Lytechinus pictus: one gene and its partner. The protein of the gene in region 2 interacts with the protein of the main gene of each other region in a pairwise test. Links are inferred from orthologs where the notes say so. Each region holds a gene or a part of one and is shown on either strand. Other genes may lie near its edges.

Region 1 (7,792 bases), on a different chromosome or scaffold from region 2:
AGTAAAATAGGACTATCAATAGAAGAGTTATGAGCATTTGAATGTCGAGATCACTAATGCTATGGAGATCCTCCCATTGGCAATGCGACCAAGATCTATGATGTCACAGATGAACAACTCTCCCCTTTTGGACACTGAAAATATACCCCAAAACATCTCTTTTTGCTCATTCTAATCATATGACAAACGATTCATCAATGATATAATGTTGTGAAACCTCTATACTTGTCCTCTCATAAAGAGAACACCTCACCTTGTGATAGACTCTATAAAAGTGAGAATATAAGTGAAATAAGTACTTAAGTAATGAGGGAGTTGTACGTGTGTGACATCACAGATCTTGGTCGCATTGCCAATGGGAGGATCTACATGGCATTAGTGATCTCAATATTCAAATGCTCATAACTTTCTTATTATTCATTCAATCTTCCTCAAACTTTCAACAATATGTTTCTTTGATTTTTCTCTTTGATATGGATTCAGCTGGTTTCAAGGGTTTCATTCTCCTTTAAGGTCATCTTGTCGATGTGAGTCAGAAAGATTTTGTTCAAGGACCATACCTTTTCATAACAAAAGTAAATATTGTAACAACAATGATGAAAATACATTGTATCTGACCTTCATGAAGGTCCAGGTCATTTCCTAAAGTTAGACCAATGTCACAATAAGACCAAGTACCTGTTACATAAAATGAATCATGGATCAAAAGGGTTTAACTCAATTCTGTCAGGTTATAATTGGTTCAAATGATAAATCCTCTGGACAATTACACTAAGAGCCAGTAACATGAAATGAAACATGGACCAAAATAGGCCATCTGGGGTCCATTTCAAAATAAAGACAATAATAGTAACTAGGGTAGTATGACAACTACCATGGACACTTTGACCATGATTGGCTACTGAGCCCTCTTACCATAGTAGTTGCCACAATGGTAAAGTTACAACCACAGTTGTAAGTGCTACTATGAAACTGGCCCCTGGTAGTTAATGTAGATCAAGTACCTCCAGACTAAATATATGCATTTTAATAATAAGATGATTACCTTTGTAAGGTCGAATGGATTATCTCGGTGCTTGTCTGCTTGTTCTTGGGTCATGACTTGGATGTGAAGGGACCAGGATGGCTGGAAGGGAAAATGGATCAGAGAGAACAGCGATAAATACTAAACTTATACAAAATGACATAATTCGAAATTTGCCTTGTCTCTCAAAACACTAAATAGGATGTCTACTGTATAAAGTCAAAGTTTAGCAAAGAGATATTTTAATATTTACTACTAGTAATAACATAATAGTGGCAGATCCAGGGGGGGGGGGGGGCACGAGCTGGCTCATGCCCCCCCCCCCCCCCCTCTTGTGAAGCAAAATTGTAATTTGTAATGTAAAAGTGGCATTATAATTTTTTTCGGGGACGAAATATCATTACTTTTTGGTTTAAAACTTTTCTTTTTTTGGGCTTGTCAAACTTTTCCTCAGAAAAATTTGCCCCCCCCCCCCTTTTGGAAAATCCTGGATCCGCCCCTGCAATAAAAATAATACTTATTACTTATAATATGGTGCTTTTCCCAATATTTAAAAACAAAAAATTTGGATAAGCTCATGCTTAGTTGAACTACACACAGAAACAAGTACATGGGACCAAAATAAATCTTGGCTTGATAACATGACAGTGGAAGTACAATGGTAACTGAGCTTATCTCTGCATTGAACATTTTGCTACTTTATTATTTCTAAATGATCATAAGAAGAATATTGAAATTTAAATTTACTTTTAAGATATTCAAATAATTACTTAAAATTCACCTCTTTACATTATTAGTATCTTTTTTGTTAATCAATTCATTATCTGCAATAGTTAGTCAGCCCACACTTTTGACCATTAGTATAAAAAATTGTGGGTGTGTCTTGGTCTAGTGGTTCTAACTCTTGTCTTTCAAACAGAGGGTCGTGGGTTCGAACCCCAGCCATGGCATGTTTTCCTTCAAGAAATTTATCCACACTGTGTGAGGGAATGGGTACACAGCAGGATTAATTCCTTGCATGCAATGAGCGCTGGTGATGGTAGCTTGAGCTAAAGCCGGGGTAATTATAGCAAGCATTTTGTATCCTCCGGCAAAAAAGCGCTACATGAATCCAGCAATCATTATTATTATTAAAATGGCCCACAAATGTTATTATCATTGTAGTTTTTCTAAATTCCAAACCAAAGTAGAAACTTACAAAGTTGTTGGTGGCAATGGCATTGTACAAATCACGGATGGCGTAGTCGGGGTCGCCTGCCGAGAGCTCTCCAGCACGATGGCGGTTCAGATTCTTGATACCTTGATCGCACTTGAAGTGGAACTTGCAGAAGACGTGCTCGCCTTGTTTGTTGCGGAGTTTGAAGGTGTGGCTTCCGTAGCCGTTCATGTGACGGTATCCGTCCGGCGTGCCACGGTCAGAGAAGAGGAAGGAGACTTGGTGAGTGGATTCCGGTCGAAGGGTGATGAAGTCCCAGAACATATCGGGATCCTGAAAGATATCAATTTGAAAGGATTTTATTTTGTCATCTTTTAAAAATAATTTAATAATTTTTAAAAAATTGCTCATTCATAAAATATAAAAAGGTTCTTTTTTTTTCATTTGTTCTTCTTTACATTCATTCATTTGCCCAATCATTATTCCATCTGTTCACTTAGCATTAAGGCCATTATTTCATCTATCATAATATCCAGCCATCCATTCCTTCCTTTCTTCATTCATCCATCAATACATCCATCTGTTCACATCCATCTGTTCATTCACTCAATGCTTTCATTTCATTATCCATTTATCCATCATTCCATTTAAATATAGATCTGTTAAGTAACTTCATTCAAGCGATTGTGAATAAAAGTAAAGTACATGTACATGTACATCATTGTATATGAAATAAAGAAATTACATTGACCCCCCCTCCTGCCATTTACATGTATGGTAGGGGGTCCTAAAGCTACGCACCACTCATCACGCATACAGTTTTTATGGCAAATGCGCACTCTGTGTGTGGAACTGTGACTGCAGTGACGAACGATTCCTATTCAATTTTTTCTACAGAGGCTGCAGTAAATCTCTAAATGCAGAGAAAACCAACAACTGTTTGGAATTTTGGAGTTATATTCGCTTTAATTTCATTTTATCCTATAATAATTTTAATATATTTTAGAAATTGAGGCACAGGAAATACTATTTTTTTGCATGATAAATCGAGTGCGTAGCTTTAGAACCCCTTCTACATTGGGCGGCGAAATCAAGAGGTGTTTGGAAAACACGGCGGTATTTTTGCATTAGTGAGTTTTGCGATATTTTCTTCTTTGTTAACGATCTTTAGAATGTTTGCCACAAATTAGTGAAAGATAATTTGTTGAAATATTAAAATTGGGATAGTGTTTGAAAACAAAGTGCGTAGCTTTAGGGCCCCCCATCATACATAACGAAAAGCAAATAAAATGTATGTTGCAAAATCATTGTTATGTATTCAAAATGGCAATACAAGTGGGGGATGAGAACACGTAAGTGTATTACACAAGCTGCACTTTACACATGTATATCACATGAGTCAATATTTGAGTTGAAAGAGAAAAGATGACAATGCTACCACAATCACATGATGTAATGTATCATGTAAACATTCAGTCTTTGCCTGGGATTTAAAGGTACATTACATACACAGCTTGAATAGAACAAACACATCCCAAGATATCATTTCACATTGCTTTAATGTGTATAATATTTCACAGAAACAAGTGAAAAGGGCTTCTGAAATGTAAAATGAAATACATATAGGAAAAATTATTTCAAAACATGAATTTTGCAGAAACAGTAGAGAAACAGATATCAGAAAAAAAAGAATTCAAAATGAAAATTGAAAAAAAAATCCAGCGAGCAGATCAGAACATGAAATGACCCTAATACAAACACAACCATATACATGTACATGTAGGCCTGGAGATTGTTGTAGTCTTACATGGATTCGTGTAAATGTAAAATGTAAAACCTACATGTAATTCATATCTAAAAAAAAAAAAACTTGAAATTTAGTATATCAACTGTCCTACCATTCCCTTTTTAATTCTCATTACAAAACTTCCTAAAGGAAATATTTACACAAAGTCACGGTTGGACTTTGCTCTGTTACAAAATAAACCTTGGGCCTTTTCACACGTGAATCTTGAATCATCATTGTAATGATGATTGCAATTTGTCTTTAGAATCATCGGACCTTTCGAACGCTCACTCGAAAACTGTGATTCGAGTAAAACTTAACTGGAATTCACCTCCGGAGTAGAATTTGAATTCGTGATTATGATTGGCGTGATTCTAATCATGTTCTGGTTTGGTTTCACACATGCTAAAATTTGTCATTAGCCTTATTTTTCACTGGAATCATCATTCAAATTACAAAAAAAAATTACTGTGTGAAAGGGTGGCTTGACTCTTTGGCACTGGGACTGGATTGAAATATCTCCCTATAGTATTATACCTCGTCCTTTGTTATATTTCAGACTACTTTTTTTTCAGGCTGTTTTCATAATATTGGGTTCAAAGAAAGATGGCAACTTGGAATTTGTCTATTGTTCCAGGCCTTGTTGCATAAGAATTCCTATTATCACAATAAAGCCATGCAATGGTGCATGTTATTACCTATATATGTAACAATTCAAAACACTTGATCAAAACAAGGAGATATGATATCTCCTTGATCAAAATCAAGAATTTTGGTTAGCATGTACTAGACTTCATGCATTGACTTCATCAAAACCACTTTATTAAAGGATAAAGCAATTTATTACCTTGCGTGTGTTGGTGATTGTTAGCTGGCGCATTTCTAACAACTCTGTTTGTGTGTTATCCTATATCCTCTTGAGGGAGGGCGCTATGAGATTATGACATCACATGTATATACATGTAAGTCTAAACTCTGATGTAACGTGGCCCAGGTTTTTATTTAGGATGACATGATGTACACTTTTTTTAAAGTAGCAATCCTAGCCATCTTGCATAAATGAGTTCAGTAAAAGTTGTAAAGATTGCATGACTTAAGTTTGATTTTATTTTTACCATATATTAACCCAGATCATTCAATTTTATTTCAAACCTGTGCAATATCAATCTACAAACATCCAATTTCAAAATACAAGCATTCTTGTATAATAATATTCAATTTTAATAACTTTCTAGTAATATCATACTTCCTAGATTGCATTGTTATTCCCAGTGAATACACTTTTATTTCTCATTAATAATTGTTCCAAAAAGTACTACTTTCAATTGTGCATGCATGTAACTATTTCATTTACTATTTATTTCTCGAATCAAATGTTTAATTGTAATCAAATGTTTAATTGTATTATTTATTTTATCTTGTACATACATTGTAACCATTGCAATTCAGTCTTTGGACTGCGAGAATGGATATTTTCAATCAAGTTGTCTTGCAGTATTGATCTGGGAATTTTGCAATTTAAAAAAAATAATTTAATACCTGAATTTTTTTTGCTCATTCATAAAATATAAAAAGGTTCATATTTTATTCAATTGTTGGACGACATGATGTACACATATTTTTTTAAATAGCCATCCTAGCCATCTTGCATAAATGAGTTCAATAAAAGTCGTCTCGCAGTATTGAACTGGGAATAATAAGAATCGGAAATAATCAATTTTGTCTTGCATTTCAATTCTTAATCTTCATTTAAGTTTATACTTCATATTATTAAAGTCTATACATGTACTTTATCCCATCAAATTGATTCTTATCTATTGACAGGTTTTCAAATCAATTTATAGTAATAACATGGGCTTTGCTTGAATTCTTTCTCCGCTCTGTGCAAAATGAAACTTTTATTTAGAACTGTTACGTGAGATACAGGAAAGGAAACTACAAGCTGTAGATAATGAATATAATTTTTACAAGTCATTTCCCTTATTAAAAGTGATCTAAACATCAATCATGTTTCATTACTTTAGTACTTGTTATCAATACAATATAATAATAACCTAGTCTTATATAGCGCTTTTCATGAAATCCATATCAAAGTGCAAATAGTTGATTGGTTCAGAAATGCAGTATATTGGTTCAGAATATGCAGTAGATTGGTTCAGAAATTGAATTTTTCATTCTTTCCATCATAACAAAACAAAGATACTGTAGCACATGTCAATATAAATAATTCAAGAGTATATATGCTGAGAGGGTAGCAGAAAAATATAATATTAACTTTATTGACGACTGATCCAAATTTGTTTTGAAGCCAGTTTACCAACTCTGCATCAAACATAGTGCTGTAAAATTGGTAACAAAGTGATCGAGGAGGTATATTTTCCTAGCATTGCCTTGCAATTTGCTCCTGATTTTTAATACTGAGCTACACAAAAAAAAGCAGTTTCTTATATAGAACTGTACATACAGATCTTAATTGGGAGAGCTTTTCTCTTATTACCAAAACACTAATAAAAATTCTGGTAGGCAAAATTATTCCCTACAATCAGCTAAAAAAAAATCCAAAAGAAAATGGACAGAGGCCTTGAAAAATAAAAACAAAACAGCTCACATGACTTTGTCAATGTAAAAACAACCTATTGATCATGAGAATAATCTTTAACTTGACCTACAATGAATCAATCTTTTAATAGCTACCTGAACCTGTAAAGTGACCTGAATTACTTCTTTTGAACTTGACAATTGATAAGCCTATCTGTGAAGGCTGCAATCATAAAAAAGGAGGATAGAGGAACAATAAATTTACGCTAGATCTGGATTTTGTACAAAATTGTTTATATCGCTGTCAAACCCACACAAGAGTAGGTTAGGTCAAATTATTGTTTTTTTACTCTTAACTTGTGTTGTAGAAAAGGTGAAAAAGTATTATCAGTGGATTGTGAAATTCTTTATTACTTGCTGCAAAACAATCTCAATCATTTCAATAAAGCCAGGGTTACAACAAAACCAAATTCTCTCGAATAAATTCATCGAATAAATTCAGACCGCTTCTAGCCGAATTCTGATCATGGTTTCGAAATAATATTCCTGAATTTTCTCGCATTCTTGGAGGGTGAACAGAATACTCCCAAAACCACCCGAATACATGTATTTGAATGGATTCGCAGCTGATTCGGTTCCGGTGTAACCATAGCTTTAGCTGGACAATTCCTAAAAAATAAATCTCCACAAGTTATCTAAATCCCTCTCTAAGCACCTTCAAAATCTCATTTAAAATCTGTCTTTACAGACATGCTTTTTAGTAAATATAATTTTCACCCCTTCGCATGTTTCTTTTTCCTTTCTTTCCTGCCCAATACCAATACACTCAAGATGGATAATGGCACATTACAAATGTTCATATCATCACCATTATTATTCTTATTGGGGAATAAGAATATTATTCTACACGGTATAAATTGCAAATAATTCCTGACATAATGTGTACGTCACAGCATAAAACTTAAAATGAATGACAGGCATTTTTGTGAATCTGTGCATGAATTGAACAAACATTTCGTCTATTGTGGCACCGTGCTATTCATCACGGACCTTCAGGTCAAAGTTTTATCAAAATCAAATAGACCTATATCATTGCCCCTAGACAATCGATATGGAACAAGGTCACTTCAGCCTATGTACAAATTGAATGTCACGTACATGATGTGCAAATTGTACAGTGTACACGATCTTCATTCATAAAAATAAATGCAAGTTCAAGGTTTAATAGTCATTTTGAATCATTAAGTACCAGGCAGTCTAATCTCTCCAATTGTCTAATACCATAATT
Region 2 (7,774 bases):
AACCCCAAAACTTACAGCATGGCCAAAATGAACTATTGGGCTTACAAAAGAAACTCTTCCCTACCAATCTGAGAAATATACTCCACAATTCATTGTAAACAGGCAGAAGTAACGTTTAATCTTCATATCTTTATCATTTACCTTTGAACACCAGATCTGGATTGGCAAACTCAGTGATATCAGCGCCAGCAGAGAATGATCTGCCCGAACCACACAGGACGATGCTCTTCACTGATGCATCTTGCTCTGCTTCCTACATGTAGTACAGGGGGATTGGAAGGAGAAAAATAAAGTTAGTTTAATGGATGTTAACTCAGTAAACCGCATAGATTTTATTAGCCATGGGCCCTGTTGCTCAAAAGGATGCATTCAATCCAACCGTAAAATAACATGCAAGTTCTACATGTGCTTCTGAATGGTTGAAAATCATGTTGTAATTGATTTTTTTGGGGTAGAAATTGTGTTTGATTGCAATTCATTCTGCATTAACATTGATTAGATACAGGTGCGATAATTCTATCTATTATAGGCATATTTCATAGGAAAAAAAATAAAATCATTGGTCAAATTTAATGGTTATTAGAGATGCTAAGCTAGATTCTAACTCTGTTAAAAGACAACCAACCTGTGGCTTCTTGGTGTATAAAGGTTTGCTAGCATTTACAATTCCGTCCACCCAGACCTTTGCTACACTACACAGAGTCTACACAAAATTAGCTTGAATATGAAAGTCAATACAGTATTGTATGGATACCCTTTCACATACATAATTTGTATTGATTCTTGGTGCACTTGTTTGCACAGTTTTTAAAGTAGGGCACTTGACAAGCAATACAATAAACACACATTATTCCTGTAAGAGTATTTGAAAAGATTTCAAAATCAAATAGACTTTCAAAGTGTCTCTAACCTACAAGTAGTTAGCGCTGGAACCATACTGTAGCCTTAATTGTATCTGAAACTTTAAAAGATAATAGGCCTACTCAACCTAAAATCTACATGTAAGTGTGGGATAATACATTAGCCCACCCATTCAGCCAGCTCAAAAGCATGTGGGCAATTCCATAGGTTGGTGGACATGAGCTCAATGTGTCTTTGTACATATAGCTAATCTGAACCGTAACATGAGTAACCACTTTATCTGCACCCCTAGTAAAAACCATGTGTTCTTTATTTTTTTAATTATATACAAATTTGTCTCCCTAATATACTTCTTTGAAATGGATATAATCAACTTTCATAAAAGCCTTGCATGAGGACACTTTTCACTTATGTCCACTCTTCATTTTATGCATGTCCAAATCATGTAACATGAGTAACCAACACATTTCAAAGATTTGCCAGGAGCATAATGAAATTTCCCAAGTTTTGTTTTTATACAAAGGATAGTCAGACTGCGTACTATGTTGTGATAAAGAGATGTTTAGTTCCTATCAATAATAATGGAGTTACAGCTCCAAGTATGAGTCAAGGTGTCTCCAAATGTAACGTGAGTAACCGTGGAATAGCCCATGTGATAAATAGCCAGAGCTCTAAGATTTTCTTTCTGTATAAAACACCATATTTGTGTTGGTCTTCAAAAAAAAAAAATTATTCTTCCTCTATGTAGGGCCTACTGTGAACATATATGGAGTCATGATATTCAACAAATCACAAGAGACAAGAATTCTACAAGACCGATTTGATTTACCTGCTGAGAATTTCAACAGATCATAGTTTACTCCACTTGGTTCTCCTTGATCTTTGAATTTCTTTATTTGTAGGTAAATTTTACCGAAATTTGATTGAAATAAATGAGTAATTAATTATGCTTTCATACACCTAACATTTGGGGCTTTTGTTATGTAATTAGGCCTACAATACATTTTTTAGGCATTTTACACTTGCAATTCTTGGATGGTCCATACAATTAGCATATTCCACTCAATACTTTATTTGATACATGTATGCCTTTAAACGGGGTATGTGTATGAATAAAAAAAAAATGTTGGGCCTTCTCGAGGGGAAGACTAGATCTCACCTTTATTGATTGAACAATTGAAGCTCTGGTTGGATAGCTGCAAGACAACACGAGATTGGGATAGAAACGGAACATTTTATTATTCTCCAATGAACAAAATCTTCAGTTACACTCATCTAATTTACCAGAAGAAACTTTTTGGAAAAAATGTAATTTTGTTCAAAAATCTTGAGGGACTACTACTGCACCTTGAACAAAATCAATTTGAACATAATCTAGATTAAATTACATCAACAGACATTACTAGATGTAGACCTATATCCATCGTATATGACCATGGCATCTTTTTTAGTCACATATTGAAAAACAGAACGATTCCCTAATTCATGTGTATGCCCGCGGGGGGGGGGGGGGTGCACTTGATAAACTTTAGCATGAGTTTGTAAATTCATACCATCAAATCTTAAACATTTGAAATTCCTGAATATGATGATTGCTAGTTAGGAGTTGTTACACTATATAACCCGGATGACACTTTGTTGAATGTTGTGTTCGGGCTGCCGCAGTATAACTAGTCAGAGTAGAAGTTAATACCTGAGAACATTGAGTGGTGGGTTTTTCAATGTGACAACAGCAACTTGTCCACGCTTCGAGAGAGTCGCCATTGCTTCTGCTGTACGTACACTGCCTGTTGTACACAGATTTGACTTGATGACGAGTTGAACCAAATTCTTAGCACGTAACATATCGCGAGGCAGGCGTCAATGCACCGGGTAGTGGAGGGTGAAAATAGCCGACACAGTACCGTCTAGTCTCTAGATCGGATATATGCTGGTACTAGTTTTCAATGCAAATATCATAAAATTACGATTGGCGATCATTAATCCAGAGATCAGCCGCTGATGTAAATCGACTGTAACAATCCACTGGTCATTAGACACCGTATATATTGGATTGTGAATTGGCAAAGTCCAATTTTCCTGAGCCCGAAATTCGTATTGACACTTCGCTCCTGAATGAACTTTGCACATGCACAAAACCTAGTCTAATTCAAAGTAGAACGCCAAAATAGACTTCAGAAAACAGGATATAAATTTAGTCCTGAACATTCCAATTTCTCATAAAGTACACCAATATTATATCATTTGATTTCATCTAATTTTGTGAATCAACTTTTCATTTTTTCATCAAGAAACATTATGAGACTGCTGTACGTGTATATTGTGTATTTCACGAGGCGCATTGTATACGACTACATCTACAATGTGACAATTGGTAAACAAACACGAACATGAAATTCCCAGGGATCCGTCCATGGCTCGAGGGGCGTGTCCCACAGGCAGGCAATGGGCGTGTCAGGGGATTTCCCTTCTCGTGCTCAGGCATTGACGCTGACGGTTGTGTTGCCCGACATTTCATTGCCGCAGAATATATACCGGACAACTAACCTACGGCTAACCTACTTGTGGACATACACATTTGAACATATGCTTTCATTTTTTTGACTGCCGGGATCAATTAATGTTTCATTGGACAAACAATGAGAAAGACGAAAGCATTAAAATGTAGAGAATACTGACACTGGCCATGTAACGAAGATGGGACATGTCACTCACCAACATATATGTATACCCTTAATTTTGACACGAGTGATAGGCAAAAAAATACATAAATAAAATATCTCTTTGCTCCATTTTGTGAAACCTGTATCCTCCCATGTCCAGATTACACTTATTATATATATACCAATGGACTTTGGAAAAGAGAATATTATAAGGTGAAATAATACATGTTCGAAATGAAAGGGGATCTTTCTAATATCTGCAGATACGTGGCATCATAAATCTTGGTCTCAATGCCAATTTGAGGATCTCTACAGCATCAATTAGTGATATCAATGACCATAACCACCTCTTAATTCAATCATGGTCCTAAGTCCATGGTTCAATCCATTTTTCTCAAAATGATCCATTGATCTATTTTGAGCGATTCAAATGCAGTCTCTCCCCGGGTCTCTCCCTCATCTCTGTCTTATGGGAGACAGGTTCAGAAATTGATAACTGAAAGTACACTATCGTGCTAAAAAGTACTGGCTACTCAATATTTATTTCGTCATATTCCTGCAGCTATGTCGAGAAGTATGTTTCCCGTTTGTCATGTTTGCCGTTTGAAAAACATTAGTTATGACTAGGATCAAACTTCCACAAACATGACAAATGGTAATTCAAAGTCCATATTTACTTATGTTAAAAATGCAAACCTCATGATCAAATCAACATGAATGATTCTCGAAACGAGAATTGGATGAAGGGGTGGTATAGCTCATGCACAGACTATATTCTAAGCAGCGGCGTAACAGGGGTCGGTGGCCAGGGGGGCAAGAGCCAAAAATTTCCCGGTCATATCATGGAACAGACAATGGCGTCCTAAGGCAAACATTTTGAGGGGGCGATATGGCGTATCGGGCAAATATATATATAAGCGAGCGAAGCGATCGAGCAAATTTTTTTTGACATTTTTATTGCAAAAATCCAATTTTGTGATAGATTTTGACATAATGTTAAAAAGATGATATCATATTCACCCTCCTCTCTTTCCTTTTTTTTCTCTTTTTTGTACGCCACGGTGAACAGGATTTTTGTTATGATTGTGAGCATCAGGGCGAAGCTCTATATGCTCGAGGGGGCCGAGTATGGCGCTTCTGGCAAGAAGAAGCTTAATATAGGTCCCGAGCGAGCGAAGCGAGCGAGATAAAAAAAAATCACCTTTTCATGAAAATCTAACATGAAGATATATTTTAACGTGATATTCATACAAATATAATACACTTTCCTTTCTTTCCTCATTTTTTTGTTTGGTTGTTGAACTTTTGGGGGCCATGGTCCAAACTCATCCATATAACAGTGCTTTATGGGTGGAGTCCAGGGCAGAGCCCCGGAACTTCTTGATATCAAAGCCATATTAAACCTTACAGATGGCCACTTATTTTAATCAAATTGCGAGCATATTTATATAGCTTTAACACAACACATAAATTCAATGCAGTTGTGTATCGTAATCATCCAAATATTGTGAGGGGCACACCATAGCAAATGTGGGAAAATTTGTAAAAAGTCGCCAGCGAGCGAAGCGAGCCAGAAAAAAAAAGGCCTGTTAAAATGAAATTCTAATTATGTGATAGATTTTTACATCATTATAGCAAATATCATGTCATATATTTTTTCTCATTCATCTCATTTCGCTGCCTCCTTTATTTTCTTTTATTTCCCCTTGGCTGTGGAACCACCCCCGGTACGCCAGTGCTTCAACGTAAAGCTTAATGCAGGAAGGGTCCATATAGGGGCCCGTTATAGAACCCATTAAAGGTTACAGATGAAGAGCCCCTACTGCACGGGGTCTTCACTCTTGGACAGAGCCTTTGGAGATTTAGCAAGTTTATGATAGACTTTCATACGACATTATGCTATATACCACCATTTTTTCCTTCCCGCTCGTTATCTCAATCCTCGGCAGCCCGGTAGTGTACGTTATCTTGTCCCTATTCTTTATTTTCCAATTTAGATTTTGGCTAATTCCATTCTGCCTTTATTTCCCGCTTTTGTTTGCCTTTTTGTCATCTTTAATTTATTTCCCTGTCTTACTAATCATGCTAATGTATTTGTATATCGGGGCGAATTGTTCTTTCTCACTTGTTCTTTTTTCCTTCCTTTTCCCATTATCTTTCCGTTTTCCCTTTTTTATGTTTTTTCTTAGTTTTCTTTTCCCTTTTCCTTTCCCTTTCCCCTTTTTTCTTTCCTTTCCTTTTCTTCCCCTTTTTTTTCCTTTTCCCGTTTTTTTTTTTCCCGGTGAGCTCCGACAGGGGGGGGGGGGGGCAGCTTGCCCCCCTGCCCCCCCCCCCCGCCTGTTACGCCACTGATTCTAAGCACACTGAATTAAAAAAAATATTTTTGCTAAAGTTATTTCACTGCCTTATAAAACATCCCTGAATAAGGTATTATTATCATAATTGTTGTTGTTGGTGTTATTATTCTTATTATTATGCATTCAATACTTTGCTCTGATCTCTAAGGTTTAGACATGACAATTCCACCTTCTTCAATCCCCTTTCTTTCTCCATGTTCTCTCTTCTCCCTCTAGCATTCCGGTTTCTTTCTGTCACTTCCGTCTCCGTCTCCCTCTCTCTCTCTCTCTTGTCTTACATTCACCTCATTTATTGATACATGCTTTCTCTCTTTGAGTTTCCTTTTTGTCCTTTTCACCATACTCCTTTATTGGTCACAAATAATGTTATCTTCGGGTGATAAAAAACACGTGGAGCGCCTCTGGCAGTCTCACCTGCATTACGCAATTCAATATAGCAGCAGTGCTGACTTTCAATATCACTATACAGTGCGTATCAAAAAAAAGTTTACAATTAGAAAAAAATCCTGTAAAATTATACATTTGTAATATCCTGAAGATTTTTCAACATTTGAACATTGGTACAGATCAATTTAAGCAAATGACGATATAACTGTCGAAAAATATTTCCGCTTGAGTGAGTACCACTTACTTATGAAAAGTGAGTGAAAAATGATTTGCGCAGAATTTTGAAATATTTATGCGAATAAAAGTAGACCTTAATCATGAAGAACACGTGGAATTTAGCTAGTAAAATTGATTTGAATACTCTTTTACCTTTTTTAACTTGTTTCCTTGCCCAAAACACTTCAAAGAGTGCATTGCGCCCCACCCCACTCCCTCACACACCGAGGCCATCGTGACGATATTTGCTTTACACTGAGCTGTGATTTACATGAAATGGCTTAGGCTTGATTTACATTCATCTGTTAATCATTGTCAAGCTTGGAAAAGTGTGGAGAAACAAGTATTAAATGAAAAATGAAATGTAAACCCACTTTAAATGATAAAGATTTAGTGAAAAAAATGCTGGAGAAGTCTGATATAAATTTTGTTCAGATTCAGTTATGTCCTCAGATCCAGCTGGCACGAAAAGGGTAAATGTTGTGCTTAATAAGTGTTGAAATTTCAATTCGGGTGGCAAAATTGTTACAAAATGCTTGAATGTATCCGTTTTATTTCAATTGACTAAAAGTGCAAAGGAAATGTATGAAAAATGTTTCGCAGGGTAAATTTGATTTCGCCCTTCCCCCTTGACACTGCGTGAAAACGATTATTTCTGCGCAAATAGATTTCTGCGAGCTTTACAAAAATGGACAGTGCTCACTCAAGTGTAACATTCTGTCAAAACTTTTACTTCCATTGGATAGATGAGACCCAAACCCAAGATTATATGTGAAAAAATACCCATATAATGTATATTTTTTAATTTCCAGGGCCTTTTCAAAGTGTAAACTTTTTTTTGATACCCACTGTAGAATAATTATTATATAATTCAAAACATCACTCATATGATGATAAAATAGTATGTTCATTTACCCTAAATGACATCGATCATGTGACCTAAGACTTAAGCAAGATGATCAGTAATCCTTGATTACCCTTATGTCCACATTTCATGAACTAGATCCTTAAACTTTTAAAGTTATGATGGCAATTCAACAAACATCCCCAACACGGCTAAATAAAAGTTCATTGACCTTGGTCATGTGACCTGAAACTCATGCAGGATGTTCACTCATGCTTATCCTTATGTCCAAGTTTCATGAACTAGATCCATATACTTTCAGAGTTATGGCATTTAAAAAAACTTAACCTTGGTTAATATTTCGTTTTCATTTCCCCAACATAATCTAAGTTCATTGACCCTAAATGACCTTTCACCTTTGACATGTGACCTGAAACTCACAAAGG

What was found. The genes of interacting proteins can lie anywhere in the genome.
Region 1: the proteins of peroxisomal bifunctional enzyme-like (region 2) and catalase-like interact in a two-hybrid assay, tested with the Homo sapiens proteins (2 studies listed by BioGRID, with this or other methods). The link is inferred for Lytechinus pictus from reciprocal best matches to the Homo sapiens genes EHHADH and CAT.

What each region holds. Positions count from the first base shown.
Region 1 is NC_087263.1:3,450,418-3,458,209, forward strand, and holds the start of catalase-like, read right to left. Parts: upstream 3,004-7,792; 5' UTR 2,592-3,003; coding exon 2,223-2,591; intron 1,127-2,222; coding exon 1,046-1,126; intron 1-1,045. UniProt on the Homo sapiens protein: Catalyzes the degradation of hydrogen peroxide (H(2)O(2)) generated by peroxisomal oxidases to water and oxygen, thereby protecting cells from the toxic effects of hydrogen peroxide.
Region 2 is NC_087257.1:19,522,751-19,530,524, reverse strand, and holds the start of peroxisomal bifunctional enzyme-like, read right to left. Parts: upstream 3,003-7,774; 5' UTR 2,707-3,002; coding exon 2,555-2,706; intron 2,058-2,554; coding exon 2,021-2,057; intron 254-2,020; coding exon 142-253; intron 1-141. UniProt on the Homo sapiens protein: Peroxisomal trifunctional enzyme possessing 2-enoyl-CoA hydratase, 3-hydroxyacyl-CoA dehydrogenase, and delta 3, delta 2-enoyl-CoA isomerase activities. Catalyzes two of the four reactions of the long chain fatty acids peroxisomal beta-oxidation pathway.